6 linked regions of the Oryctolagus cuniculus genome follow. The protein of the gene in region 1 interacts with the protein of each later gene in a biochemical or structural test. Links are inferred from orthologs where the notes say so. Each region holds a gene or a part of one and is shown in the gene's direction. Other genes may lie near its edges. The genes, in order: PML, CHEK2, MAPK7, DAXX, SENP1 and KLHL20.

Region 1 (3,331 bases):
AGAGCTGGACACCAGCAGCAGCGAGTCCAGTGACCTCCAGCTGGAGGGCCTCAGCTCCCCGCGGGCCCCGGACGTGAACCTCGCTGATCCCCACGCAGAAGACAGGCCCCTGGTCTTCTTTGACCTCAAGATCGACAGTGAAAGTGCGTTCTCTGGGGACTGCCCCCTCCTAGCTTAGCCTCTGAGCCACGTGCCACGGTCAGGATGGCCGGGAGCTCTGGCTGAGGGGGCGGGACACCCCCTCGCCTGGGGTCCCCTCTGTGACCTGCACCTGGGTGTGGGAGGACCCCACGACACCCCTCCCCGGGCTTGCTCTGGCCTCACCGCGCCCCTCCCTGAGCCGCAAGCCCTGCAGGTCCAACATGTCGCTGGACTGACAGAAGGGGCAGGCGCTTCCGCGGACCTCAGCGCTGGCTCTGTGGGTGGCGCGGTCAGGGCAGGTCTGGCATTCCCGTTCCCGGCAGGGTTGGCGGCCTGAGCTTAGTGACTCTGGGACCGGAGGCCAGGGTGCAGAGGGCCATGCAGAAGCAGTCTGGGGTCTCCCGCATGGCTGGGTGGCAGCTGACGGGTCTGCTGGGTTGGGCAGCCTGCCCCTGCCCTCTTCCTACCCCAGGGCCGTCAGAGCCGGCGTCCAGGCCGCATTTGGTCCCTCCCAGCAGGCGCCGCCCCTGAGCTGGGGCCTCACCCTGCCCTTCTCTCCTGCCCAGCCCAGAAGATTAGCCAGCTGGCGGCCGTGAACCGCGAGACCAAGTTCCGGGTGCTCATCCAGCCTGGAGCCTTCAGCGTCTGCTCCAAGGCGGTGTCCCTGGAGACGGGGCTGCAGCACTTCCTTGGCTTCCTGGGCGCCATGCGCCGCCCCGTCCTGGCCTGCTACTCGCTGTGGGGCCCCAGCCTCTCCGTCTTCCTCCGGGCCCTGGAAGACATGAACAAGCTGGGGGCCTTCCAGGAGGCCGTGTCGGGCTTCCTGGCCCTCCTGCCCCTCGTGCGCGAACTCGTGCCCGGAGCCAGCAGCTTCAAGCTCAAGAGCCTGGCCGAGACCTACCTGGCGAGAAGCATGAGCGAGGGCAGCGCCCTGGCAGCCGTGCTGGCCATGCGTGACCTGTGCCTCCTGCTGGAGGTCTCTCCCGGCCGGCAGCTGGCCCGGCACGTGCACTCCTTCCACAGCATGCAGTGCTTTTCCTCCCTGCAGCCGCTGGTGCAGGCGGCCATCCTGTCCCGGGCCGAGGCCCGCCTGCTGGCCCTGCACAAGGCCAGCTTCCAGGAGCTTCTGAGTGCGCACCGCGGCGACCCGCAGCAGGGCTTGGAGAAGTACTGCCGCTCCCTGGGTCTGCGAGCCACGGCGCCGGCCCCGGCCCTGCCCACTCCCAGGCTGCAGGCTCTGAGCGCCTACTTCCAGCGCCTGTCCGAGGGCACATCTGCCTCTGTCGATGGCCACAGCCTGGAACAAGGCGCCGCCCAGCAGAGCTGAGAGGAGGCGGTGGGCGATGGGGACAGAGGTGGCCAGAGAAGGGGAGACTCCCTTGGCCAGGCCCCACCCATCTCACATTCCCAGCGCCCTGCTCCCAGGGCTCAGGTGTCGTTAGGTCCAAAAATTGGGACCTGACAATGCAGGGTCCAAGGCCACCCCCACCCCCCCCAGGGGGGCTCTGAGTGGCCCCAGCTGCCCCACCTGCCACCCCCACAGGCGTCCTTGCACTCCTCTCCCATCCCCACGCCATCGCCCCAGGGGACTGCTCGCTGCTCCCACGGGCACCACCTGCAGTCCCACGCGTACCCAAAGTGCCTTTCACAGCCATCTGCCCCCGGAGCCTGGGTTCCCCCAGCCTTGGCTGGGCTGCGGCCACATCTCCTGGCCCCCCGAGCATCCATCCAGCAGACAGGAGCCGCTGCCCCCACCACCACCACTGTGAGCCCCTGGGAGAAGCTTGCTCACCTTGTCCCAGCCACACAAATGCCTCCCCACCCCACACACACCCAGGCTTCGTCCTCGGTCTTGGGCCCCCAGAGCCTTCCACTCTCTTTCCCAGCCCGGGAACGTCCCCCACTGCCCACACTGCCCAGTGCCGCAGGCCCGTGACCTCTGCTCCCACCGCAGGTGCCCTGGGGACCCTCTGGGGGCTCCTAAGGAATTGTTCCCATGCCGGCTGTCCCCAGGCAAGGCTGGTGATGGGTTTTATGCTGAACCCGGCGTTAATAAAGCTGTGGGTTTTAGCCGAATTTCTGAGGCTCCAATCATAGACTCTGCTCGGGCCACCTCACAGGAGCCAACGAGAGGCCTCTTGCCTGGTGAGGGGAGGGGGCTCTCCTCTTCTGCATCCCACGTTCGGCAGACAGGGAGGCCAGGGACGCTGGTGATGGGGCGTGATGCGCGTGTGGGACGTCACAGAGGCAGCCTCCCAGGTAGGTACCTGCAGGCACTCCTGTGGCACCAGTGCGGGGGACTGCGCGCCCCGGCCTGTGTGGGCAGCCAGCTAATGCAACTGCCCGGCGCCACCACCCTTAACCCCGCTGGCCTGCCCAGGGCACCTGCACGTCTCAGCTCGACCCTTTGACCAAAGGCTCAAAGTCCTCCTGTGCCACCTGTGCCTCGTCTCCAGGAGTTTTTGTTTGTTTTAAAGATTTGCTTGCATAGTTGGAAGGTCAGAGTTACAGAGAGAGAGAGAGAGAGAGAGAGAGAGAGAGAGAGAAAGCTCCTCCATCCACTGATTCACTCCCCAGATGGCCACAATGGCCAGTGTGGAGCCAGGCTGAAGCCAGGAGCCCAGAGCTTCATCCGGGTGTCCCATGTGGGTGCAGGGGCCCGGGCACTTGGGCCATCTGCTGCTGCTTTCCCAGGCCCTGAGCAGGGAGTAGGATTGGAAGTGGAGCAGCTGGGACGCGAACTGGTGCCCATATGGGATCCTGGCATCACAGGTGGTGGCTTTACCCGCTGCGCCACAGCGTGGGCCCCTCATCTGCAGGTTCCACTCTCCCTAACCAGGAGGTCTCAGGGCTGGGCTGGAAGCCAGGGGCCTGCGGTTCAGCCCCCACTCAGCAGCCTGTGGTCCTGATCTGGCACATTGGGCTCTGTGAAACGGGCTCATACGGGTCACAAGTACCGCACAGGACCCCTGCAAACCAGGGAGACAACGTGTGGGAAGATCGCTTAAAAAACAAACAAACAAACAAAACAAACAAACAAAAACAGGATCTCTTGTCCAGGGAGGCAAAGGATGAGCTCAGGAAACCTCCCTAGGGGTCCTGGGGGAGCCCAGAGCAGAGCCAGGAGCCCACCTGCAGAGGCCAGAGGCCAGCTTGCGACGTTAGCGGAGGCCTCATCTACGCACAAGGA
Region 2 (4,940 bases), on another chromosome or scaffold:
TTCTGTCCGGGTTGCCCCTCTTCCAGGCCAGCTCTCTGCTGTGGCCCGGGAGTGCAGTGGAGGATGGCCCAAGTGCTTGGGCCCTGCACCCCATAGGAGACCAGGAGAAGCACCTGGCTCCCGGCTTTGGATCAGTGCGCTGCGCCGGCCGTGGCGGCCATTGGAGGGTGAACCAACGGCAAAGGAAGACCTTTCTCTCTGTCTCTCTCTCTCACTGTCCACTCTGCCTGTCAAAAAAAAAAAAAAAAAAAAAAAAAAAGCTAAGTGCTAAAAGGGAAAAGAACAGGGGGTCAGCAAGGGTGGTAGACGCCAGGGCCCTCTGAGCTGAGCCTCAACCTGAACACGATGATGATGATGAGGATGATGATGAGTAATCCGAGATCAGGGGAGCGACACCCAAGCGCAAAGACCCGGGCGGGCAAGTATAGTCGCAGGCCGAGGAACTTCGAGGGCAGTGCTGCTACGGCCCATCCTAAGCACTCAGTGACCGGTGGCGGTAGATCCCAGAGGAGGGTGACCAGGCATCCCCAAACCCCACCCTGTTCTTCTAAAGCCCGGGGACCTTCGTCCCTGGCTCCTTTTTAATCCAAATCCCTTCGGCTTTCTACTCCCAGAGCCGGCCCTATTTCCTCACCAGCTCAGCTGTGCCCACATCTCCCCACCCCCAGGGCGGAAAACCCTCTTCTTCCAAGATCCACGTTCCCCCTAGGCCTTGCCCACGATGTGAAGTTCTCCGCCCACTCCTCACCTACACGTCCCACCCCAGCTTCCCCTCAGGTCTCCCCGCCCCCAAGATCCGCCCCTCGCCCGCTTCCCTCTCCCGCAGGGGCCGCCCCAGGGTCTCCCCCCACCCCGTCGCCTCCCCGTCCCCGCCCATCCAGCCCCCTGCCCACTCCGGCTCCACCCCTCAACGCCCCTTCCTCTCTCTCAGGACACCCCACAAACCCCACTTTCCGGGCTCCGCCCACCGGTCTTCCCGGTCCCGTCCTGTCCTTCCCACGCCTGGCCCGCCCTCCACGCTCGCAGGCCAGCCCCTGGCGCCTCTCTCCGCCATGCATTTCCCAAAACCGCCTCCCGTACCAATCCATGAGGCTGAAGTAGTCTCGAGCTCGGTCAGGTGGCTGCAGCGCGCGGCACTGCGGGCAGAAGAACCCGTCCCCCAGCCCAGGGGCCCCCGGTACACCGCAGTTCCAACATCCGGGCGAATTACTTCTCGCCTGCGACGCAGCATTGCAGCTTAACAGTCTCCTTCCGGGAACCCCTGCCGGCCACAACTCCCACACCCGGAGCAAGGCCCGGGACCTCCCGCTCCACATCTGGCCCGCGGCCGGTCTCCCCACCGGTGGGGAATAAGCGGAGAACACTGTCGACGAGCCTGAAGCTGCCGATTGGCTGAGGAGCTGCGGGGGCGGGATCACTGCAGTGAGCCCCAGAGACTGTGTTCCGCTCTGCCTCTTAAACTACAACTCCCGGCAAGCATTGAGCCTACGCGTGGCGGTCACATCCGCCGCTCCTCATTGGTCTGGCGGCGGCGGAGAGCGTTTTGATTGGCTGAGGGCGGAGTTTGTATCTTCAGGTTTAGCGCCACTCTGCTGGCTGCGCCTGTGGAGAGTGTGCGGCTGCAAGTGGGCTCACGCGGTGAGTCATAGTGGGGGAGCTCTTCTTGGGTGTTTGGGGGATCGAATCTCGTTCTCCAGGGTCTTTGGCGAGCAGAGTCTCTCAAGCTTCCGCTTCGTCTGGACTTCTGAGCCGGCGGCGGACTGCGTGGGCGGCTTTCTTCCTTAGATAATGTTTAACTTCACTTCCCTCCTCGTTATTTATACATTTAAATAGGCCAGGACCGCAGGGAACAGAGTTGTGCTCGTCACTGTCACAGCAGCGCTGCTTTGTAAAGAGGTCCGTGACCGATAGCAATTATGAACAGTTCTTTAGAGGCGATCTCTAAGCTATTGATGGCGAACCCAGGCTTGGCTGCTGGGCACCGCAGGACCTGGACACACACTGACCGGGCTGGAGCAAGTCCCTGCGAATGGCCACACGGACATACTGGGGTGCCGTGACCACGCGTTTGTGTGGCCCTTGTAAGCCTCTCAGATTGTCTGGGACTGGACTTCTGCTCACAGCCCTGGAGCTTTCCTGCTGCCACTTTGTCCCCTCACTCACTCCTCTGCTCCCAGTTAGCAACCATTACCCTAGGAGGAGCATTACACGCACTGGCGCGTTGAGAGCTCTGGTCTGGGTGCTTTTTTTCCAGATGAGGAAGTGGGTCCAGAGAGGCCGAGGCATAAGATCGTGCAGAAGTTCGACTCCAGTGCCTGAGCTCAGGCCTGCTGGCCTCTAGCCTCTTAAAGCTACCTCTTGGCACACTCTCCCCGCTCGTTGGGGTGGGGGAGTCGGGGACCCAGCCTGGCTGACCGTTTTAGATCAGCAGGTCAGGTGTGTTTTAAGGATCACACAATAGGACTTTGGTAATTTTTTTTTTTTTTTAATTTGACAGAGTTAGTGAGAGAGACAGAGAGAAAGGTCTTCCTTCCGTTGGTTCACCCCCTAAATGGTGCCTATGGCCAGAGCTATGCTGATCCAAAGCCAGGAGCCAGGTGCTTCCTCCTGGTCTCCCATGCGGGTGCAGGGCCCAAGCACTTGGGCCATCCTCCACTGCCCTCCCGGGCCACAGCAGAGAGCTAGACTGGAAGAGGAGCAACTAGGACTAGAACCCGACGCCCATATGGGATGCTGGTGCCGCAGGCAGAGGATTTACCAAGTGAGCCACGGCGCCAGCCCCTGGACTTTGGTAATCTTGAAAGCTGTGCAAATACAGTCAGTGAGAGTGATGTTGTTTGCTAACCTGTAGTAAGTAGTGGGCCTCATGCTTGGGAAAGAGACTGTGCCTTAAAATCTACTTAGGTCAGCGTTGAAAGTAACTGACTAACTGCCCCTCAAGTTAATTCTAAGGCAAGGGCGGGAGCCTTTTAAGTGGAAGGCTCTTTAGGATGCTGTAAGTTACTTAGCATCACAAAGGGCTACGCTGAGTTGTCTGGCCTCCTTAAGCAGCCTGGCATTTAGATAGCTCTCAGGGACGTGGATCCCTGCCCTCCAGGAGCAAGCCTGGGGGAGAAAGGTTTTGGTGAAAGGGCCCCTTCCAAGTGGTGAAGTTTGTTTTGCCTGTCTTTTATCCCAAGCCACCTGACCATGCCTCATCTTTCCCTTTCAAAAATGTATGTGAGGGGCCAGTGTTATGGTGTGGTGGGATAAGTTGCTGCCTGTGACACTGGCATCTCAGAGAGAAACACAGGTTCAAGTCCTGGCTGCACTGTTTCTCATCCAGCTCCCCGCTAATGTGCCTGGGATGGCTCAACTAAGTTGAGCCTCTGCCACTCTTTTGGATAATCGGGATGAAGTTCCAGGTTCCTGGCTTTGGCCTGGCCCAATCCCTTGAAAGTTAGGAATGAAACTTAAAACGGACTAATACAATCAATATAATTAAATTTCACATGCATGTTTTTTTAAAAAACGTTTATTTGAAAGGCAGAGTGACCAAGGGGGGAAGAAAGGAGAGACAGATAGAGAGATCTTCCACCCCTAGTTCACTCCTCAAAAGCCCTCAACAGCCAGAGCTGGGCCAGTGTGAAGCCAGGAGCCTGGAGCTCCACCTGAGGCTCTTCTTGGGATGCAATGGCCCAAGCACTTGAGCCATCTTCACTGGCTTCCCAGGCTCTTCAGCAAGAAGCTGGATTAGGAGCGGAACAGCTGGGACTTCAGCTGGCACTGAACAGGAGATGCTAGTGTTGTAAACTGTGGCATAGCCCACTGAGCCACAACACCAGCCCCCGCATTTCCAATTTTTAGAAACTGGATGCCTAAAAGCCTCTGAGTGCCCCCTCCAGCTCAGTGTCCTTGCGTTTACACTTGTTGCCTTCAAGTAACTTTATTTTTTCTTCTCTGTGTCTTATGACAGTCAAAAAAGTGACCTGGGGAAAAATGGTAGCATAGAAGCACAGGTCTAGACTGGTAGGATTTTAATTTTGGTAGAGTGTTTTGGCCCTGGATTTTTTTTTTTTTCGTTCGTTCTTTTTTTTGCCTTTGTGTGTGTGTGTGTGTGTGTGTGTGTGTGTGTGTGTGTGTGTTTGACAGGCAGAGTGGATAGTGAGAGAGAGAGACAGAGAGAAAGGTCTTCCTTTTGCCGTTGGTTCACCCTCCAATGGCCGCCACGGCTGGCGCGCTGCGGCCGGTGCACCACGCTGATCCGAAGGCAGGAGCCAGGTGCTTCTCCTGGTCTCCCATGGGGTGCAGGGCCCAAGCACTTGGGCCATCCTCCACTGCACTCCATGGCCATAGCAGAGAGCTGGCCTGGAAGAGGGGCAACCAGGACAGAATCCGGCGCCCCGACCGGGACTAGAACCCTGTGTGCCGGCGCCACAAGGCGGAGGATTAGCCTAGTGAGCTGCGGCGCCGGCCGTTTTTTTTGCCTTTGTAATATGCTCATACTTCATTCTTGAATTTTGTCTCTTTTTTTAAAGAACACTTTTTAAAAGTTTATATATTTGTTTGAAAGGCAGAGCGAGAGAGCAAGCATGAAAGAGAGCGAGAGAGAATATCAATCTTCTGGCCTCAGGTTTACTCCCCAAATGCCCACAACAGCCAGGGCTGGGCCACACCAGGAGGCAGGACTCCATCCAGGTCTCTGTGTATCTGGCAGAGACCCAAGCTGACCCATCATCTGCTGCCTTCCAGGGTGGAAGTGGAGGGGAGACTGCATCCCGGGCACTCTGATATGGGGTATGGATGCAGGCATCCCAAGTGGTGCCACAGTGTTTGCCCCTGTTCTTTCAAACTCACCTTATTGTTGGGCACTTACTTTTTGAGGTGGTGATGTCTCGGGAGAAGGACGTGGAAGGCCAGCAGTCCCACACCAGTGCTTCCTCACAGTCTCAGGCCAGCGG
Region 3 (5,185 bases), on another chromosome or scaffold:
TCTGAGTGCCCAGCGCAGGCCTCCCGCATCAGGTGGGCTGGGACTGCCCAGTTAGGAGCCCAGCCACAGCAGTCAGCCGAGGACACTGTGGGCTTGCCGGGGCGCAGCAGGAGTCAAACCACACTGTTTCCGAGGCAGCGATGTCAGGAGCGTGGCGTCCCCTGTGTAGCCCCCTCTGCTCCTCTGACTACCCCCACCCCACCCCACCGGCACAGGAGCATGACTGTGCAGGACACTGCTGTTCTTCTCATCGGCCCCTCGGCCGCCCACTGTCCCTACCTCCCAGGCTTCCTTGGGAAAATGGGCCCCATCCACACATGGCCAGAGCAGAGCACAGGTGACTGGGGTTTGGCCAATCAGCACACTCTTCCCCTAGGCTGGGCCTGTCCAATGGGACATGACCTGGAAACGAGGCTAGATGCCCCACGGGCCGGCATGGAGTTCTGCGACACCAACACCCCATATTGGAGACTGGAGCACTGGCTAGAGCCCCGGCTGCTCCAGTTCTGATGCAGCTCCTGGCTAACACACCGGGAGGCAGCAGATGGCCCAGATACCTGGGCCCCTGCCATCCGCGTTGAGACCTGGATGGAGTACCTGGCTCCTGGCTTCAGCCTGGCCCAGCCCTGGCTGTTGTGGCCATTTGGGGATGAGCCAGCAGATGGAAGAGCTCTCTCTCTCTTTCTCCCTCCCTCCCTGCCTGTAACTCTACCTCTCAAATAAATAAATAACATCTTTAAAAAATAAAATGTCCTCTCTTTAGGCTGACACTGGGGCACAGTGGGTAAAGTAGGAACCAACCAGTGGATGGAAGACCTTTCTCTCCATCTCTCTGTAACTCTACCTCTCAGATCCTTAAAAAATTAAAAAGGGAAAAACTTTTTAAAAATAAATCCCATGTGGCCTTGGTATAGATGAAACCTACCTGGGGTGCAGTCATGTCTTGGGCCTGCAGTCACCCTGCACTGACCCCGACTCACCCAGAACAACTTCCGGTCCCGCAAGCCCCATTCGTGGTGAGTGCCCTCCACAGAAGCACTATTTATTCTCGTCTATATTTCACGGTGCTTCCCCACGCTTAGATAGGTTGTGCTACGCAAACACCACCGTTACAAATGCCCACAGGTGTGTGCAGGGCGCAGCAGGTAAGTTCTCACAATGCCAACACCGCCTCCCAGTGTGATTCGCAGAACGCAGCCCTGTCCTGATGGGACCTGGGACTGTCTGAGTCACTTTCCTCTAGTGGCCACCAGGAGGCGGGACCAAGATTTTTCACTTAAACGTTTCTTTACCAAAGTCTCGAACCACAAGAAAATGTGATTCCACCCTTTCCGTTTTTAAACAAGTGGTCAGTTGTGTCAGATGCAACAGAGAGTTCGAGAGGGCAAGGGTCAAAAGGCTGGATTTGACCAGAAAGGGATAACTGATGACTTCTCCAAGACAGAGCCGCTGCTGTGGGAGCAGCAGCACAGTAATTCAGACAAAAAGTAAGAGAATCAGTCTTTTTAACCAGGGGATAGTGAATTGTCTGCAGCGAATAACCTGACTGGATGGAATATTTTTGAAGTATTTAAAGGATACACAGTGCATTAGTCTCTTCTGATATTTTATTCCTGATTCAAATAGGACCACCAGACAGAGTACAGTGGGTCCCTAGAAAATCATGTGTTTCATGTTCCGGCCTCTGTGTGACCTCTGCTTACACTGAGAGCTGACACAGGGCCTCACGCTGCATGGATTTCATCTCTAGAAAGGCCCCTGGGGCCGGCGCTGTGGTTAAGCCGTGGCCTGCAGTGCTGGCATCCCGTATGGACACTGGTTCAAGTCCCAGCTGCTCCACTTCCGATCCAGCTCCCTGCTGAAGCGTCTGGAAAGCAGAAGATGGCACAAGTGCTTGAGCCCCTGCACCTGCGTGCGAGACCTGGAAGAAGCTCCTGGCTCGGCCTGGTCCAGCTCCGGCCATTGCGGCCACAGGGGGAGTGAGCCAGCAGACAGATCTGTCTCTCCCTCTTTCTCTGGTTCTGCCTTTCGAATAAAACAAATAAATCTGTGTAAAAAAAAAAAAATTCCCCTCAAACACTTCCATATCTCAGTAACAGGAAACCCCGTTTCTCAAGAGTACGGTTGGTTGCCTTATTAATGCTCAGTGCAAATCACGTGAGATAATTTGGCTTTGTTATGCTGCCAGGGAAACCAAACAAATTTAGACTTCAACCCCAACTCAGTTGGTTCATACGATCGCTACCTATCTAACTACTAGATATACATATAAAGGTACCGCACGCACTGTGGAAAGCAGAATCAAAAACTTTTTTTAAAAAGAGATTTACTTAGGTGCCTGAAAGGCGTAACTAGAGAGCGGCGAACCGGAGAGAGATCTCACACGTAACGGCTCCCTTCCCAATGGTGGCCACAGCCAGGGCTGTGCCAGGCCGAGCCGGGAACCGGCAACTCCACCCCCGTGTCCGCCGCGGAGGGCAGGGGCCACCTCCCAGGGACCACGCAGCACGGGGGCAGGAAGCCGGATCGGAAGTGGGGCGGCTCGAGCAGGCGCCCCAGCGCGGGCTGCCGGCCGAGGCTGCATTCGTTAAGCCACAACGCTGGCCCTCCCCCCTCAAAAAAGTGTGAAATCCATGCAAAATAAACGACCTTTGAACTCTGCCGAAACGGTCAACCTGGCACTCCGGGACTCCTGACGACCGGGTTCCCTCCCGCTCTCCCCGTCTTCCCATCCGCCGGGCCTGGTGCAGGGCAAACTCGCCCGAATGTCCCAGCTCCACACCGTGGCTCCGCCTGCAGGGCCTTCATTCCTCCACGGAAACAGTCACCGCCGGAGTCTCCACCACAAAGCCGCTTCTTCCTCGCCGCTCTTACCTCCAGCCCTCGCCGCCCTGGCGTCGCAGGGCGGGGCTCGACACTCGACTACGCGAGGAATGGCGTTCCAGTCAGAGTGCTGCCGACTCGCGGACTCCACAGAAGGGCCCGCTGCCTCCTTCCACTCTGTCGCAGCCCGAAACGCCGGAGCCGCGGGACAGAGCCACTGCGGAGGGCAGACGCCGGACCAGCAAACTACCAGCGAGCGCCGGAAGTGTGCGAGAAGACCGGCCGCCGGAAGTCAGCGGCAGCTCCGAGGCCGGACGCTCTAGAATCCCGGAGGACCCAGGTCTCTATGGTTGGACGTGCCTGCTCGCCCTTTCCCGCGAACGATGCTTTCCCAGAGCTCCCAGAACCGAGAAAATGGGGACCCGTTAAGGAAGAGGGGCCCAAGGAGGGGTATTGCGGGAGCCAGTCTCCAAGGTAACAACCCCAGGCCTCTCAGCTCGCCCCGAGTGCCCGGCTGTTCCCCACAATCGCGGGACGAGCCGTGATTGACCGCAGGAGCCGATGGATGGGGACGCGCGCGGGCCGACGTGCAGGGGCGTTGCCTCCTATTCTCGCGGCGCCCGGGGCTGCCGGTGCGCATGCGTGCAGGGGACTGCGCCCGGCGGCCGGCGCACCCCTCCGGAGCGCCGAGCGCCCTCAGGGCGGCGGCTCCCGCCGGCGAGCCGGACCCCGGCGGGCGGAGGTACGGTTTCCTAGGCCGATGCGCCCTGATTGGGCTCAGCAGGTAAAAGGGGTGGGAACCTCCGCAGGGGCCGCTCGCCGATTGGCCGGCGGCGGGAGGGAGCGTGGTCTCGGGAGGCGGGGCGGTGGGGTCCGGGCTGGGCAGCGCGCGGCGCTGAGGAGGTGGCCGCGGGCCTCGGACGGGCGGGAGTGCGGTTCCCGGAGCCCCCTCCTCTAGCCGGGGCCGAGGACGCCGGCGAGCGCTGGGACTTCCAGGATCCCTGAGGAGGCGCCGGTCAGTGAGTGTGGCCCCGAGGAACCCGAGGGCCCCGCCCGCCCTTTCTTCCTGGACTGCGCCGCGCCGCTCCCTCCCCCACCCGCGACCCCGACCCCCACCCGGACCCAGGCCCGGGGCGGCGGCTCCCAGCGTCGGGTGTCTCCAGCGGGCCAGCCGCTCCCATTCGCCAAGTGGCTGGTTTTGGAAACTTGGAAATTTCCCTGGTGCCCCCTCCCCAACCCACAGAAGGGGAAACTGAGACCCCCGGGATGGGGGCTGGGGGTGGGCCCTCTTCATCACCGGCGTCTCCACACAGAGGACCATGGCCGAGCCCCTTAAAGAGGAAGATGGCGAGGATGGCTCTGGGGAGCCCCCCGGGTCGGTGAAGGCTGAACCCGTCCACACCGCCGCCTCGGTCGCCGCCAAGAACCTGGCCCTGCTCAAGGCCCGTTCCTTCGACGTGACCTTCGACGTGGGCGACGAGTACGAGATCATCGAGACGATCGGCAACGGGGCCTACGGGGTGGTGTCATCCGCCCGCCGCCGCCTCACCGGTGCGTCTCCTGGGTCACTGTCCTTGTCAGATTCGGAGTGAGAAACCCTGCCTTAGCCAGCCGGGCTGTGAGGTGTGGTTCCGATCCAGAGATCTCTAGGTGCCCAGGCTCCCAGTGAGGCAGGACTCCTTGCAACTCTGGCCTAGCCGTTTTTTGTTTGGTTTTGTTTTGCCATCCCACCAGGCTGCTGGGCTCTGGGGCCAGAGCCTGGCACCAGGGAGTGGTGGCGGGATGGGCTAGGTCTGGGAGGCTCTCTTGCTAACTGGCTGTGCAGCTTCTCACAGATGACCGCGCCGGGTTCCCTCGTCTGTAACGTTGAGCCGGTAGTACCTACCTCATAGGGTAGCAGCAGTGTGGTTGAAGTGCTTAGTTAGCACCAGGCTCGGTAGCCTGTAGGTGCCCAGTGTGTGGGAGCTGTAGTTGTTTGCATCCTGGAAGTGGCTGCTCTAAGAGACCCTGTGGTGACAGCCTTTGCCCTGCCCCCCAGGCCAGCAGGTAGCCATCAAGAAGATCCCTAATGCTTTCGACGTGGTGACCAATGCCAAACGGACCCTCAGGGAGCTGAAGATCCTCAAACACTTCAAACACGACAACATCATTGCCATCAAGGATATCCTGAGGCCCACGGTGCCCTATGGCGAGTTCAAATCCGTGTAAGCAGCGTGATGGGAGAGGGAGGCACAGTTAGGACTTGTAGCAAGGGCTGGGGCTCCTATCGCTGAAGCTAGGAAAGGCAGCTGGGAAAATTTCCATAATCGCAAGGCCAGTGCTGCCTTAGGGCGTTGCCAGGGCCAGCTGTTACTCCTCAGGA
Region 4 (5,167 bases), on another chromosome or scaffold:
CAGGAGCTTCTTCCAGGTCCCCCAGGACCATTAGCAGGGAGCTGGATTGGAAGAGGAGCAGCCAGGACCTGAAATAGCACCCATATGGGATGCCAGTGCTACAGGCGGCGGCTTTGCCTGTTACTCCACAGCACTGACAGCAACTATATGCTCTTTTTATCTTTTTAAACATCTACTTGAAAGGCAGAACTACAGAGGCAGAGGCAGAGAGAGAGAGGTCTTCCATCCACTGGTTCACTCCCCAAATGGCTGCAACGACCAGAGCCAGGCCGATTCAAAGCCAGGAGCCAGGAGCTTCTTCCAGGTTTCCCATGCGAGTACAGGTGCTTAAAGAATTGAGCCATTTTCTACTGCTTTCCCAGGCCATAGCTGAGAGCTTGATTGAAAGTGGAGCAGCTGGGACTCGAACCATCACCCATACATGGGATGCCAGTGCCAGAGGCAGAGTCTTAATCCACAGCACCAACACCAACTATATGCTCTTATATTTGAAAATCTTTTATTGACCAACCTCTTACGTTTTCCTGAAGGTACATATATACTAATTGAGATGAAAAATGTCTTTCTTGGGGCCGGCGCCGTGGCTCACTTGGTTAATCCTCCACCTGCGGCGCCGGCATCCCATATGGGCGCCGGGTTCTAGTCCCGGTTGCTCCTCTTCCAGTACAGCTCTCTGCTGTGGCCCGGGAAGGCAGTGGAGGATGGCCCAAGTGCCTGGGCCCTGCACCCGCATGGGAGACCAGGAGGAAGCACCTGGCTCCTGGCTTCGGATCGGCACAGCGCCAGCCGTAGTGGCCATTTGGGGGGTGAACCAACGTAAGGAAGACCTTTCTCTCTGTCTCTAACTCTACCTGTCAAATAAAAAACATTTTTTTAAATAAAAAAGTCTTTCTTGCGATTTTGACTCTTTGTTAAAAATATTTATCGTTACAATTATGAAAAACGAATTTATCAAGCAGCACAAAGATTGTGCAAATTTTTGCATTACGAATTTTTAATAAGCTAGAAGATTGTGTTCATGGTGCATCGCTGAAATAGACCACGTGTCTTTTGACTTCAGCCAGGTAAGAGACCCAGGCAACTTCACGGCTGTGAATTATTATAAGATGGAGAAAGTCCATTGTGAAGGGGAAGGAAGAGGGAGAACCTCTACCGCAGGCGCTCGCTCTGGGAGCCCAATTTTGGGAAAGCTGAGGATCTGAAACTTAAATCCTCTTTGTCAAGACCCAGTGGTCTTGGCGAGTTTTGTTGCTCAATTTGAAGGCTGTAGGCCTGGACGACTGGCGAGAAGTGACAGGGATTCTCAAAGGAAGCGTCAGGGATGCAAGGCCGCGGGCCTGAGGCAGGAGGCCACCACCCGCGCGTGGGCTTCGCGCTGTCCCCGCAAGCGCGCCTCGGGACGCGGCCCGGCCTCCCCCACGCGAGGCGTCTCCTCCGGCTCCTTCCTCACTCTGTCCTCGGCTCTCCCTGAGGAGCAGGAGACCACCGCGTCTCCCCGCACGCGCGGGGGCCATCGCCCAGCTGCTCCCCCCAGCCCCCGGACCCCACGACAGAGCCTCGAGGGGCCGATGCCGCCGCAGCGTCCAGGCCCCACTCGGAGAACAGCGCAGCGCCGCTCGGGTCCCGCCGGCTTGGACGCTGATTAGTTCTGAGGCGGAGCTCGGAAAGCCAGTCAACAACAACGTAGCGATAGTAATACCACCACCACCACCTTCAGGGAGCGCGGTGCTCGTTTGTACGCATGCGTCGACATTTCCCGGCCGGGGACGTAGCACCTGGAAGTGGAAGCGGCGGCCGGGCAGCGGCGAGGGGCGCAAAGCCCATTAAGCGGTGGAAACCGGTACCTGGGAGATAGGAAAGCAGGACCGGAAGCCTCACTAATTGCCCAGCGGAAGGAAAAGGTTTTATTTCCCCGTTTAGACACGCCTGCCCTTTCCTGAAGCCATGCACAGCCTTGGCGACCCCAGTTCTTCAGCCAGCCTATTCCACTGCCCCCCTCCCACCCCTGGGAAAGGTGGCTCAGTGGTCTCGGCACGCGACTAGCTGGCGGTTGGGCTCGAGGCAGGAAGTTTCTGATTGGCGGAGTCCCAGAAGCACCAGGTGAAAATAGCTCCGCCGGCTGAGGGCCCAAGTCACTGCAGAGCTGGGGCCGTACAACAAAATGGCGGCCCCCAGCAACTTCGGGACGCCCTGAAGGGGCAGGCCCCGCCCCCTACAGGTCAGGGGGAAGGGAGTCGCGGGCTAGGTGGGCGGTACTAGGCACGCTCGGTGGGGCCTTCCGGAAGCAGGAAGGCTGGGCTCCGTACGACAATATGGCCGCGCTTATACGCGTGTAGGCGGAAACTCCGCGGCTTCCGGTCTGTAGTGGGGCCTGCGGTGGGAGGGGGAAGGAAGGCGGAGGGAACCATGCGAGGTTCTGAGATCAGCGGCGAGGGTCGTCTCGTGAGACCGTTTCTGAGGTGCGGGCCGGACTGTGTGGGGAGCGAAAACGGGGGAGGGGATATCGAGGAGGCGGTACTGGGGAGACGCGGGCTCTGAGTCTGAGAGGCATGCTCTGGTACCTTATTCCTGAAGGGAAGTGGGGCGGCTAGGGGTCTGACCTGGGGGAGGGGGACTTGGCGGGAAGCTCATCTACCCTGCCGGCGCGACTCAAGGGTGGGATCCGAGAAGAATCGGGAGAGCCCACTGTAGGTCTCACGATCGGTTACAAGTCACAGAGAGCGACCAGGTAAAATCAGGGTGGGGTGAGAGGGAGGGCTCTTGAGGTGTCATACTCCAACCCAGTGCCCTGGTTTGAAGAAGCCCATCAGAGGGTGAAATACGGAGTTAATAGCAGGAGGGGAAAGGAGAATGGATCGTTGAGAGGACTGTTGGATTGTCTAGGAGTTGGGGTGATCATTAAGGGTGGGGTATGGGTTTGACATGTTTCGGGGTGAAAGGGGCCAGACGTGAGGCAGCCAGAGCGAGTGTGTTTTCCGTGTGTGAGGGTGTCATGGGAATCTGGGAAGCGGGACTGGGGTTGGAAGAACCAACTTGACAACTATGAGAAATAGTGGGGAGATGGAACAGAAAGACCGGAAGCCAATGTGAGAGGTAGAGCTGGGTGTGGCGATTGAATGTTTGCGGTTCCCTGTCCTGGGCCACTTGAAGGGCCCGGGAAGGCATCCAGAGCTAATGGTTGCAGAAGACAGGCAGTGAGGACACTGTTGGGCAGGGCTGGGTGTTGCTGAAACCCACGGAGATTGGAAACTGAGCTGAAGGGAGGGGCTATGCTGGAGGGGCTCTTTCTGAGGCCCCATCCCCTTCCAGCAGGAATTCTGAAACCCCCAACACTTCCTCCCTCCGGGGGATTTGATCCCTCATGGCCACCGCTAACAGCATCATTGTGCTGGATGATGATGACGAAGATGAAGCAGTCGCTCAGCCAGGGCCCTCCCACCCACCCCCCACTCCGGCCTCACCCCAGGCAGAAGCCCCTGGCTCCTCTGAGCCCCATGGGGCCGGAGGAAGCAGTAGTTCTGGCGGCAAGAAATGCTACAAGTTGGAGAATGAGAAGCTGTTTGAAGAGGTGAGCTTTAGGGGAGAAGATTCTTATACCCCAGGGAGGGGGATGGCGCACTGGCTCTCTGGTCCTCTCTCCCCCACTAACTGCACCCCCCCTTCTCTCTCTCAACCCCCTCCCTTGTCTCTTGTCCGCTCTCTTCTTCCCCCGAACCCTCCAGTTCCTTGAACTGTGTAAGACGCAGACAGCGGACCACCCTGAGGTGGTCCCGTTCCTCTCCAGTCGGCAGCAGCGTGCCCACTCTGTGTTTTTGGCCTCAGCCGAGTTCTGCAACATCCTCTCTCGGGTCCTGTCCCGGGCCCGGAGCCGGCCCGCCAAGCTCTACGTCTACATCAACGAGCTCTGCACCGTTCTCAAGGCCCACTCAGCCAAGAAGAAGCTGAACTTCGCTCCTGCTGCCACCGCCTCCAGTGAGCCCTCTGGGAGTAATACTTCTGCAGACCCGGCCTCGGAGCCCGGCAATGCTGAGGCCGCTGTCTCCGAGGCCCCAAGGACCCGTGGCTCCCGCCGGCAGATCCAGCGCCTAGAGCAGCTGCTGGCACTGTACGTGGCGGAGATCCGGAGGCTGCAGGAGAAGGAGCTGGATCTGTCAGAACTGGATGACCCAGACTCCACGTACCTGCAGGAGTCGCGCTTGAAGCGGAAGCTGATCCGCCTCTTTGGGCGACTGTGCGAGCTGAAAGACTGCTCTTCGCTGACCGGCCGGGTCATAGAGCAGCGCATCCCCTACCGCGGCACCCGCTACCCAGAGGTCAACAGGCGCATCGAGCGGCTCATCAACAAGCCAGGCCCCGACACCTTCCCCGACTACGGTGATGTGCTGCGGGCCGTAGAGAAGGCAGCTGTCCGGCACAGCCTCGGCCTCCCGCGCCAGCAGCTCCAGCTCATGGCCCAGGACGCCTTCCGAGATGTGGGCGTCAGGCTACAGGAGCGACGCCATCTCGACCTCATCTACAACTTCGGCTGCCACCTCACGGATGACTACAGGCCAGGTAGCGGGTTAGCGGGGTGCCCGTCGGAGGCAGAGGGGACCGCTCGCCCTCTCTGCCAGGGTGTGGGCTGAGTGCTCTGCTGTCATATCTTCCCATGTAGGCATTGACCCTGCACTGTCAGATCCTGCCTTGGCCCGGCGCCTTCGGGAAAACCGGACCTTGGCCTTGAGCCGCCTAGACGAGGTCATCTCCAAATACGCAATGATGCAAGACAGAAGTGAGGAAGGCGAGAGACAGAAGAGAAGAGCCCGCCTCCCCCAAGGCACCTCTTCCCAGCCTGCAGATTCCCCCACAGCCTCCTTGGATTCTGGTGAGGTGTGGAAGGGACAGCAGCCTTCAGAGAGACCTTGTCCTCCCCCTGCGCTGGCCGCTAGGGGTTCCAGGGTGATGGATGGGGGGGTACAGAGGGAATGCAAGAACCAAACCCCCTGAGGCCAGGGATTCCTTAGAGAAACTCCTTTGTCCTCCAGGGTCCCAGTGGAATGGCTTCCCAGGAGTGCCCTACTACCTCCAAAGCTGAGACAGATGATGAAGAAGATGAGGAAAGTGAGGAGGAGGAGGAAGAGGAGGAGGAGGAAGAGGAGGCCACAGATTCCGAAGAGGAGGAGGATCT
Region 5 (5,030 bases), on another chromosome or scaffold:
CCTCTCTCTTCCCCTTTCTCACACACTCACACTTTCTCCCTGTGTCTTAGCTCTTATTTCGAGTTTGGTAGGTCTACCCTGGCTGACCACCCGCGCTTGAGTACCTCACTCTCCAACACTCCTTTGCACATTGCTACCCCTCATTTCCCCGCATGCCTCACCAGTTTGAAGATGAGGTATGCCTTCCTCGGTGCCTGGGTCATCATCAGTGTACAGACTCTGGGAGGCATCTGTCTTGGGTGGTGGCCTTGGTATGAGCCTGTTGGAAGTCGAAGCTTCCGCAGCTGAGAAGCAAAGAGTCCTGGGTTACCCTCGAGGTGAGACTCAGGGAGGAGCACTCCTTCCTCCCGTTCATTTTCTGACTCTCAGCTGTCCATGACACTCTTTCCATAAATCCAGTGAAAAATAAGAGAAGCAGTGACTCTTCTCAACAACCATCTTTCGTCCAAAGCAATCTATCCCTCTGACATAAACGGGAAAAGCAGAACACAGCCAGATACTTGCCGAGGAAGAGGTCATTTTTCCTTGGGGCTTGACTGACTTTACAGGTTTGGGGTGTCAATGACAGTGGGAACTGGGACTCCCAGAGGTGAGCCTAGACTAAGGACCCAGAAGCCAACAGCCAGCTCGTGGGCTCTGCCTCTGGTTCTCTCTCAGCTCCCAAATCCTCCTTACCTGCTTGGGCCTATCCACACACTTATGCAGGTGCTTGTGTTAGGAAAAGGTAAGACAAGGGAACACACCTGGCCACTTGCCCCTGACGCCTGTTCTGAGACTCCCATCCAAGAACCCAGGCAGTGCGCAGGAGCACCGTCAGGAGACTCAGGTACCTGTGCTTTGAGGAGTCCTGACTACCTGGTGAGACCGAATCACACACATGAAAAATTTCAGATGAAATTCCTCTTCACGCATGGCTGTCTCCTAGAGAGACAGAATTAAGTCCAAATGAGCAGATCGCGCCATGATTAGGTGTCCATGACTGGCAGGAGCAGGTATGTCCAACGGTACCGGCACGAGGCCCTAGCGTGGAGCCATCCAGACACTGGCGCGCCAGGTGGCCCTCACCAGCCCGCCTCAGCACCGCGGGACAGGCCTGGTCAGGCAAGGCCCGCCAGTCTGAATGAACCAACAAGCGGACCCCCTCAGCATGGCACGGGCTGCAGGTCAGCCAGTGTGCTCCCGGAGCGAAGGCCCGGGTCCACCCAGGAAAGCAGGCCTGCGTTTCCACACGCCGCCAGGGCCGCCCCCAAAGCGCCCCCCGCGCCCCCGACTTAATCAAGCGCGGTGCGCTGCCAAGTGAGGAACCTGCTAGCCTCAGCCAGCTCTGACTGCCTCTTCTCGAGTGCGCACGCTCTGTAAGCCTCCACGGGACCCGCCACAAACTGAGACCTATCGGGACCCCGGGTCCCCTCCTCTCAGGGCAGCCGCCCGCAAGTTCCCGCAGACCCGGGCCGCCAACGGGCTGCCATGGAAACCGCAGCGCGAGCCGGGACGGCGGGGCGGAACCAGAGAGCGGCGGGTAAGGGGGCCGAGGGACAGAGAAAAGAAAGGACCAAGGGCGCGCCAAGTATTCCGAGCCTGAGGAAGAGAAACAGCACAAGCAGGGGGCAGCAGGGAAGTCGTGACCGCAGCAGTCAACGCTCCCTCGCCTTCCGAGGCCTCGCCGCACCGCGCAGGCGTCCCGCGGGCCCCGAAGCCCGCTGACACCCCCCCCCCCGCCGCTGTCGCCAGCGGGCCTTCCGGCGTTGTGAAAGCGGTTCCGGTTCGCGGAGGTTCCCGGGTTTTGCGTCCCGCGACCGGCCGGAAACCCCCTCGCATAGCAGCCGGTTCCGGTTCGGTGAGTGGCGGCGGGAAGCAGGGGGAGGGGGAGGATGGCGGGAGCTGGGCCGCGAGGCCGAGTCGGGCCGCCTGGCCCCGGCCGGGAGGGGGCGAGGCGGCGTCGGGCCGGCGCGTCCCCCCGGCCCCGCCCCCGGCGCCCCTTCCCCTGGCGCGCCGCGGGCCGGCGGGTGGCGGTTCGCGGGCGCCGCGAGGCCGGGGGTCCGCGCGCCGCGCCGCCGACTGCGGCCCCACTCGGCGCCGCCCCCCGGTGGGGCTTTCCCGCCGGAGCGGGGCTCCTCCCTCGGGGCGCTCCGCGCGGCGCGCCCCCGCTCACCTCTTGCCTGCCTTGACCCAGTGATGGCTCGCGACTGCTCGTGCGTGCCGCGCGCGCCTCTCCCCTGCGCGGTTGCCCGGCGGTCCCTCCCCGAGATGTGCGACCGCTAGTGCCGCCGCCAGACAGAGACGCCGGACGCCCCTGCCCAGGCGGGAGACCCGCTGACCCGGCTCATCGCCGCCCGGTAATTCCTGGGGCGCCGCCTCCCCGGCGACCCCGACGTGAGCCCTCCGGATCCGAGCAGGTCCCGAGCTTGGTGATTTCTGCTTATCAGCGCCTCTGCAGGATTCCCACTATCTGGCCGGCAGTAGCCGGCTCCTTTATCACTTTGGAGTCAGCCTCGTTAGTTGTTGCGGTTCACGTGGAGTTCACGCATTGTGTCCGGGGGCGGTGGTGATTCCTTGAAATCTACCGAAAGCCGCGGGTGGGGGCTCACGACTCTGGCCGGGGTCTTTGTTGGCGTGGGCTCTTCCGGGCGGGGGAGAGCTCCCCATCCCCTCGGTTTTGGCCGCGCCGACTCTGACTCGGGGGTCTCGAGCCTCTGCTGAGATGCGCTCCCTTCACCTTCCCCCGGCCGAGGGACCGACCCCTCCCCCTGCGTCGTGGAAGCTTCATTCCTGCCTGTTCAGTTAATTACCCCACTGGTGTCTGTTCGCTGAGGGGTGAAGTCAGGGGGTGGATGGCACACAAACAGGTTCTGCTGCTTCTGGCTACGGTGATGTAACTCCTGGCTGCGGCCCCGCAAGTCCCCCACCTGCGCACCTAGGAAGGCCCCGCCTCACCGTCCCTGGCTTCTCCCAGGCAGAGACCTGTCCTTGCTCTGTTGGTGTCCCCCGCAACCGCCCGTGCAGCTGGTGCACAGTGTTATGTCCGTGTATGTTAAATAGCCAGTGCTTAGGACCTTCAAGATGCTAGGGGCCAACTGGGAGAGATGACCGAGGTGGGCGGGTGTGGTACAGTGTCATACACACAGTTGCTTCCCAGGGTAGAGTGATACCCTAAATTGTCCCAGCCTCATCTTGGTCCTGGGTAGTGTGGATTTCACGGTGCCTGCCCTAAGTACATGTTTTCGACTGACTTCATTATAGCCTAAACAGTCTCAATTGTAATCCCCTCTTTGTGTGAACTCAGACATGTTTTCCTGTACATTTACATTATGTTACAGTCAGAACTGTATCATTTTTTAGATTTTCAATTAATTATCTTTTTTTTTTTTTTTTGACAGGCAGAGTGGACAGTGAGAGAGAGACAGAGAGAAAGGTCTTCCTTTGCCGTTGGTTCACCCTCCAATGGCCGCCGCGGCCGGCGCACCGCGCTGATCCGATGGCAGGAGCCAGGTGCTTCTCCTGGTCTCCCATGGGGTGCAGGGCCCAAGCACCTGGGCCATCCTCCACTGCACTCCCTGGCCACAGCAGAGAGCTGGCCTGGAAGAGGGGCAACCGGGACAGAATCCGGCGCCCCGACCGGGACTAGAACCCAGTGTGCCGGCGCCGCTAGGCGGAGGATTAGCCTAGTGAGCCGCGGCGCCGGCCCTCAATTAATTATCTTTTGCTCAGTTTCTAATCTGATTCACCTCAAATACTGTAATTGTTTACATCCTTTTTGGTTTTTTGGACAGGCAGAGTTAAAGACAGAGAGAAAGGTTTTCCATTTTCCATTGGTTCACCCCCCAAAATGGCCACCACGGCCGGCGCACTGCACCCATCCAAAGCCAGGAACCAGGTGCTTCCTCCTGGTCTCCCATGCGGGTGCAGGGCCCAAGCCCTTGGGCCATCGTCCACTGCCCTCCTGGGCCACAGCAGAGAGCTGGACTGGAAGAGGAGCAACTGGGATTAGAACCTGGGATGCCGGCGCCGGCCGCTTACATCCTTTCAGTAAATTAAATGATCAGTATGTACAAGGAAATTACTAAAATTGTTTTTAAGAGAAAAAATTTTTTATTTAAAAACTTACGTATTTATTTGAAATGGAGAGTTACACAGAAAAAGATTTTTCCATCTGCTAGTTTACTCCCCAATGGCTGCATTAACTAGGGCTGGGCCAGGACAAAATCAGGAGCCAGAAGCTCCTACCAAGACACCTATGTGGGTGGGAGGGGCCCAAGCACTTGGGCCATCTTCCATTGCTTTCCACAGCACATTAACAGGGAGCTGGATTGGAGGTGGAGTAGCTGGGACTCAAACTGGAGCTCACATGGGATGCCAGCTCTGCAAGTGGTGGCTTAACCTGCTATACCAAAGTGCTGGTCCCGAGGGAAAAAAAATTTAATTCGAAAGCCAGAGAGACAAAGATAAAGAATCTTCCATCTGCTGGTTCACTCCCCAAATGGCCACAACAGCCAGAGCTGGGCTGATCCAAAGCCAGGAGCTTCTTCCTAGTCTCCCACATGGGTACAGGAGTCCAAGGACTTGGACCATCCTCCACTGCTTTCCCTGGTGCATTAGCAGGGAGCTGGATAGGAAGTGGAGCAGCGGGAACTCAAACCAGCATCCCTATGGGGTGCTGGCACTGCAGGTGGCAGCTTTACCTGCTATGCCATAGCACCGGCCCCTGGGGAAAATTCTTATACTTGAAAGCATTTGGTGGTCTGAAAGGTGCCAGATCCAGCATTGCATGGAAATTCTTGGGGTGAATACTCCCTCTCCCAATTTAAGTGTAAACTGGCAAAAATGAACCACTGATGGCACACTAGAGAAGCCAGATAGGTTTGTATGACCCTGTAAATGTAGGGCTTTAATTGTTTAAAGTGATAAATCGGTGTGGAGTCCCAGGTTTAGCTAAGCATTACTTGCAAACTATACGGTCTTTGCATGAGGATGGGTTAAAGGAAAGGAAGTGTGAGGTTGGAAATGTGCATTTTCCCTGGGTCTTTCCTTGG
Region 6 (4,483 bases), on another chromosome or scaffold:
AAAAAAAAAAAAAAAAAAAAAAATTCTGAGTTTTCTTTTTTAGCCTGGTGATATGATTTTTAAAATTTGAACCTTCTTGTCTACTCAGATAAAACCTACTTGGTCATGTTGTATCATCCTTTTTATACATTGTTAGTATTTTTCCACTTTTTAATTTTGATTCCTTATTTTACAAATGAGGAAACAGTGGCTCAGGATTTCCCCAACATTGCAGAACTGGTAGAAGCAACAATCAAACCTTAATTTTCTAACTAAATTCAGTGTTTTATCCATTATATAGGATATTACCTTACAATTCTATTTGAATAGGTGTCATTGTCCTTCTTTGTCAAGTGGACATGATACTAATGTATTTAGAAAATTAATTAAGGTTATAGCAATCCCAGTGGAATAAATGAAAGTTATGACTGTATTTGGACCTACTTCTAGAGACATTTGCTTAGTCACACATTAATCCACAGTGAGGTTAGCAGGGACTGATACAGTTTGCCTTAGGGCACATCCTCTTGATCATTTCTGTTTCTTCCTTAGTCGGTGGTTGGTGCAGTGGAGATGCCATTTCCAGTGTTGAAAGATACGATCCACAGACAAATGAATGGCGCATGGTAGCTTCAATGAGCAAAAGGCGATGTGGAGTTGGGGTCAGTGTCCTTGATGACCTGTTATATGCAGTGGGAGGCCATGATGGATCCTCTTATCTCAATAGTGTTGAAAGGTGAGTAAAGAGGGCTTGAAATGTTTTCTCTATTGTACGTGCAGTGTCATTTGAGATACTAATTAGGAAACAGATGTGACTTGAGTCTGTGGCACTGGTTGGCACCCTAATCCTTGTAGCATGACGTACAAGTCCTCTATGATCTGTTCTCCACCTGTTTTTCCACTTTGCATTGGATTGCACCATTCCCTAAACATGCAACTACGGACCCAACAAATTGCTCACAGTTCCTGGCACAACTGTCTTTTTTTTTTTTTTAAAGATTTGATTTATTTATTTGAAAGTGAGAATTATGTAGAAAGAGGAGAGGCAGAGAGGATGCCGCCAGTTCACTCCCCAGACGGCTGCAACGGCTGGAGCTGCGCTGATCTGAAGCCAGGAGCCAGGTGCTTCTTCCTGGTCTCCCATGGGGGTGCAGGGGCCCAAGGACTTGGGCCATCCTCCACTGCTTTCCCAGGCCATAGCAGAGAGGTGGATCAGAAGCAGAGCAGCTGGGACTTGAACCAGTGCTCAAATGGGAAGCCAGCACTGCAGGCGGCGGCTTTACCTGCTGCGCCACAGCGCCAGCCCCAGCACACCATCGTCTTTCATGTCTGTTTCCCTATGTGTATGCTTGCTTTCTTCCCTGGAATATTTGCCCTTTTAAGACTTACTTATCCTTCAAGAATCAAATGTTAATCATTACATAAAATTCTCTGATGGTCATGCAAATAAATTAGTTTCTCACGCCTTTATTCTTTATGTATCTTTAACAAGCTTGTTCCTAATCCATTGTGCTATAATTGTTGAGCTGCCTTTATCCATAATATCTATCACACAGGGCACAATGGAAACCTTACAGTAACTGATGTTTTAAAAGCTTCTTGCTCTCATGCACCCTTTTCCTTTCCATGATGTTGATTTAAGGTGATCCTTGGTATTTCCACAACACACCTCTGAAACCATGCAGCAACTCAGTTCCCATTGTGGCTGGAAAAACACCGAGGAATCAGTTCCATAAAAGTGGAGTGGCTAGGGGAGTGCACTTAAATATACCAAGGGAATGCTAACTGTATTTTATGAAATAAAGTGTCGTCAATTCTAGAATCATGAAATAAAACTAAGATATTTTTAAAATAAATAAGTAAACCAGTTAAACAAATATAAGCAAAATAATTAAATATTTATATCTCAGTTACATTGAAGCCTGTAGATATCAAAATAAAGATTTTGGGAGCCAGCACTGTGGCATAGTGGGTAAAGCCGCCACCTACAGTGCCAGCATCCCACATGGGCGCCAGTTCGAGTCCCAGCTGCTTCACTTGCAATCCAGCTCTCTGCTGTGGCCTGAGAAAGCCCTTGGGCCCCTGCACATACATCCGAGGCCTAGAAGAAGCTGCTGGCTCCAGCCATCCCACTGTTGTGGCCATTTTGGGAGTGAACCAATGGATGGCAGCCCTTTATCTGTGTCTCTCCCTCTCCCTGTAACTCATCTTCTCAAATAAATAAATTAAATCTTAAAAAATAAAAGTAAAAATGAATATATTCTTTGCCCCAACGATTCTAGTCTTTATCCATTTTCTAGTCTTTATCCATTTGCACAGGGAGAAAGATACAAGAATAATCACTGTTTTTAATAGCAACATATTGGAAATAGTCAAAGGATATATGGATAGGAATATGATTAAGTGACGTGGCATATACAGTGTTATAAAATAGTTCAAAAGGAATCTCTTGTGCTATACTTCTATAAATAGATCTCAAATATCTTGAACAGAAACAGTGCCTACTGTGGACATATATTTATGTAAATAAAACAAGCTCACAGATGCATGTGCATATGGGTACATGTATACTTATTTGAAAACATTTTACTGAAAAGTATTAAAGAGTATATGCCAATCATAATGGGAAGAGACCAGAGTTCAAGTGGAACTCAAAGGGAAAATTAGTTTTGTTGATACTGTTTTGATTTTTTAAAATATATATTCATATACAGCTTATTATATACAAATGAATTTCAAAGATCAAAATAGGTTTCCATGTATTTTAGTTATTAATCTGCCCTTATTTAAGGGAGATAACATATATCAATCCTTTGATTTGAAATATGTAACATAGCCAGACTTCCTTTGTGGAATAAGAACTCTGCTCTTGATGTGTTCTTTACAGGTATGACCCCAAAACAAACCAGTGGAGCAGTGATGTGGCCCCTACAAGCACCTGCAGGACGAGTGTTGGTGTGGCAGTACTTGGAGGCTTTCTGTATGCCGTGGGTGGCCAGGATGGTGTGTCTTGCCTCAACATTGTTGAGAGGTGATTTTTTTTTAAATACTTTTCAATTTTTTTAAGGACACCTAGGACAGTTTTAAGGAAACAGTTACAGCCAACTTAGAGCATTAGAGGATTCACAATTCAGTGAATTTACCATAGGCTTTCCAGAAAAAGTTTTCAGTTGATCATAAAGGCTAGAAAGATTAAAAATATTTTGCCGGCGCTGCAGCTCACTAGGCTAATCCTCCGCCTTGCGGCGCCGGCACACTGGGTTCTAGTCCCGGTCGGGGCGCCGGATTCTGTCCCGGTTGCCCCTCTTCCAGGCCAGCACTCTGCTGTGGCCAGGGAGTGCAGTGGAGGATGGCCCAAGTGCTTGGGCCCTGCACCCCATGGGAGACCAGGATAAGTACCTGGCTCCTGCCATCGGATCAGCGCCGTGCACCGGCTGCGGCGGCCATTGGAGGGTGAACCAACGGCAAAGGAAGACCTTTCTCTCTGTCTCTCTCACTGTCCATTCTGCCTGTCAAAAAATAAAAAAATATTTTAAGCATTTTTAAATTGATTTTTAATCGACATGCAAATACTTATTGATGGTGACCAGCATATTTTGCAATAGACACACATCGTAGGATGACTGGATCAAGCCAACTAAAAGGCTTTTCATTTTTTTGTGATGAGGACACCAAAAATCTACTCCGACACTTTTCAAGTATACAATACACTTACAGTCATGGTGTTGTACATTATATCTTTGAACTTATTCCTCCTGTCTAAAGTCAGAGTTACTCAGAGAGAGAGAGAGGTCTTCCATCCACTGTTTCACTCCCTAGTTGCCCACAACAGCTGGACTGGAGCTGCGCCGATCCAGAGCTGTGCCGAACTGAAGCCAGGAGCCAGGAGCTTCTTCCGGGTCTCCAATGCAGGTGGAGAGGCCCAAAGATTTAGGCCTTTTATTTTTTTTAAAGAATTTTTTTTTTATTTATTTGAGAGGTAGAGTTACAGACAGTGAGAGGGAGAGACAGAGAAAAAGGTCTTCCTTCTGTTGGTTCACTCCCCAAATGGCTGCAACGGCCAGAGCTGCACTGATCCGAAGCCAGGAGCCAGGAGCCTTATCCGGGTCTCCCATGTGGGTGCAGGGGCCCAAGGACTTGGTCCATCTTCTGCTGCTTTCCCTGGCCATAGCAGAGAGCTGGATCAGAAGAAGAGCAGCTGGGACTAGAACTGGCACCCATATGGGATGCGCCACTGCGGGCAGCAGCTTTGCCCACTACACCGCAGCGCCGGTCCCTCTCATCATCTTTTTAAGACTTTATGTGTGCTTGTTATCAGGCAGTCCTTGGCTTTCTGTGCTTAGCTTATTTTGTTTAATGTAATGACTTCTAGTTCCATCTATGTTGTTGCAAATGACAACCATTCATCCTTTTATGGCTAAGCAGTATTCCTTTGTGTACCTGTACCACACTTTCTTCATTTATTAGTTGATATTAAACATTTAGGTTGTTTCCATTTCTTAGC

What was found.
Region 2: the proteins of PML (region 1) and CHEK2 form a complex in vitro, tested with the Homo sapiens proteins (2 studies listed by BioGRID, with this or other methods). The link is inferred for Oryctolagus cuniculus from reciprocal best matches to the Homo sapiens genes PML and CHEK2.
Region 3: the proteins of PML (region 1) and MAPK7 form a complex in vitro, tested with the Homo sapiens proteins (2 studies listed by BioGRID and IntAct, with this or other methods). The link is inferred for Oryctolagus cuniculus from reciprocal best matches to the Homo sapiens genes PML and MAPK7.
Region 4: the proteins of PML (region 1) and DAXX form a complex in vitro, tested with the Homo sapiens proteins (2 studies listed by BioGRID, with this or other methods). The link is inferred for Oryctolagus cuniculus from reciprocal best matches to the Homo sapiens genes PML and DAXX.
Region 5: of the proteins of PML (region 1) and SENP1, one has a biochemical effect on the other in vitro, tested with the Homo sapiens proteins (2 studies listed by BioGRID). The link is inferred for Oryctolagus cuniculus from reciprocal best matches to the Homo sapiens genes PML and SENP1.
Region 6: the proteins of PML (region 1) and KLHL20 form a complex in vitro, tested with the Homo sapiens proteins (3 studies listed by BioGRID and IntAct, with this or other methods). The link is inferred for Oryctolagus cuniculus from reciprocal best matches to the Homo sapiens genes PML and KLHL20.

The regions. Positions count from the first base shown.
Region 1 is NC_091443.1:109,449,763-109,453,093, reverse strand, and holds the end of PML (protein PML), read left to right. Parts: coding exon 1-143; intron 144-586; coding exon of another isoform or gene 587-672; exon of another isoform or gene 673-707; coding exon 708-1,468; 3' UTR 1,469-2,217; downstream 2,218-3,331.
Region 2 is NC_091452.1:22,175,856-22,180,795, reverse strand, and holds the start of CHEK2 (serine/threonine-protein kinase Chk2), read left to right. Parts: upstream 1-1,508; 5' UTR 1,509-1,638; intron 1,639-4,863; 5' UTR 4,864-4,869; coding exon 4,870-4,940. Other genes in the region: iron-sulfur cluster co-chaperone protein HscB, read right to left, coding at 1,081-1,316. UniProt on the Homo sapiens protein: Serine/threonine-protein kinase which is required for checkpoint-mediated cell cycle arrest, activation of DNA repair and apoptosis in response to the presence of DNA double-strand breaks.
Region 3 is NC_091448.1:61,506,303-61,511,487, forward strand, and holds the start of MAPK7 (mitogen-activated protein kinase 7), read left to right. Parts: upstream 1-1,862; 5' UTR 1,863-3,388; coding exon 3,389-3,607; intron 3,608-3,676; exon of another isoform or gene 3,677-3,838; intron 3,839-4,136; coding exon 4,137-4,374; intron 4,375-4,861; coding exon 4,862-5,027; intron 5,028-5,185. UniProt on the Homo sapiens protein: Plays a role in various cellular processes such as proliferation, differentiation and cell survival. The upstream activator of MAPK7 is the MAPK kinase MAP2K5.
Region 4 is NC_091436.1:135,802,397-135,807,563, forward strand, and holds the start of DAXX (death domain-associated protein 6), read left to right. Parts: upstream 1-1,961; 5' UTR 1,962-2,100; exon of another isoform or gene 2,101-2,218; intron 2,219-2,325; exon of another isoform or gene 2,326-2,459; intron 2,460-2,591; exon of another isoform or gene 2,592-2,728; intron 2,729-3,309; 5' UTR 3,310-3,361; coding exon 3,362-3,568; intron 3,569-3,722; coding exon 3,723-4,554; intron 4,555-4,654; coding exon 4,655-4,869; intron 4,870-5,024; coding exon 5,025-5,167. UniProt on the Homo sapiens protein: Transcription corepressor known to repress transcriptional potential of several sumoylated transcription factors. Down-regulates basal and activated transcription.
Region 5 is NC_091440.1:137,669,673-137,674,702, reverse strand, and holds the start of SENP1 (sentrin-specific protease 1), read left to right. Parts: upstream 1-1,537; 5' UTR 1,538-1,837; intron 1,838-2,152; exon of another isoform or gene 2,153-2,336; intron 2,337-5,030. Other genes in the region: PFKM (ATP-dependent 6-phosphofructokinase, muscle type), read right to left, coding at 162-284, 831-912. UniProt on the Homo sapiens protein: Protease that catalyzes two essential functions in the SUMO pathway.
Region 6 is NC_091438.1:2,198,515-2,202,997, forward strand, and holds part of KLHL20 (kelch-like protein 20), read left to right. Parts: intron 1-531; coding exon 532-715; intron 716-2,866; coding exon 2,867-3,010; intron 3,011-4,483. UniProt on the Homo sapiens protein: Substrate-specific adapter of a BCR (BTB-CUL3-RBX1) E3 ubiquitin-protein ligase complex involved in interferon response and anterograde Golgi to endosome transport.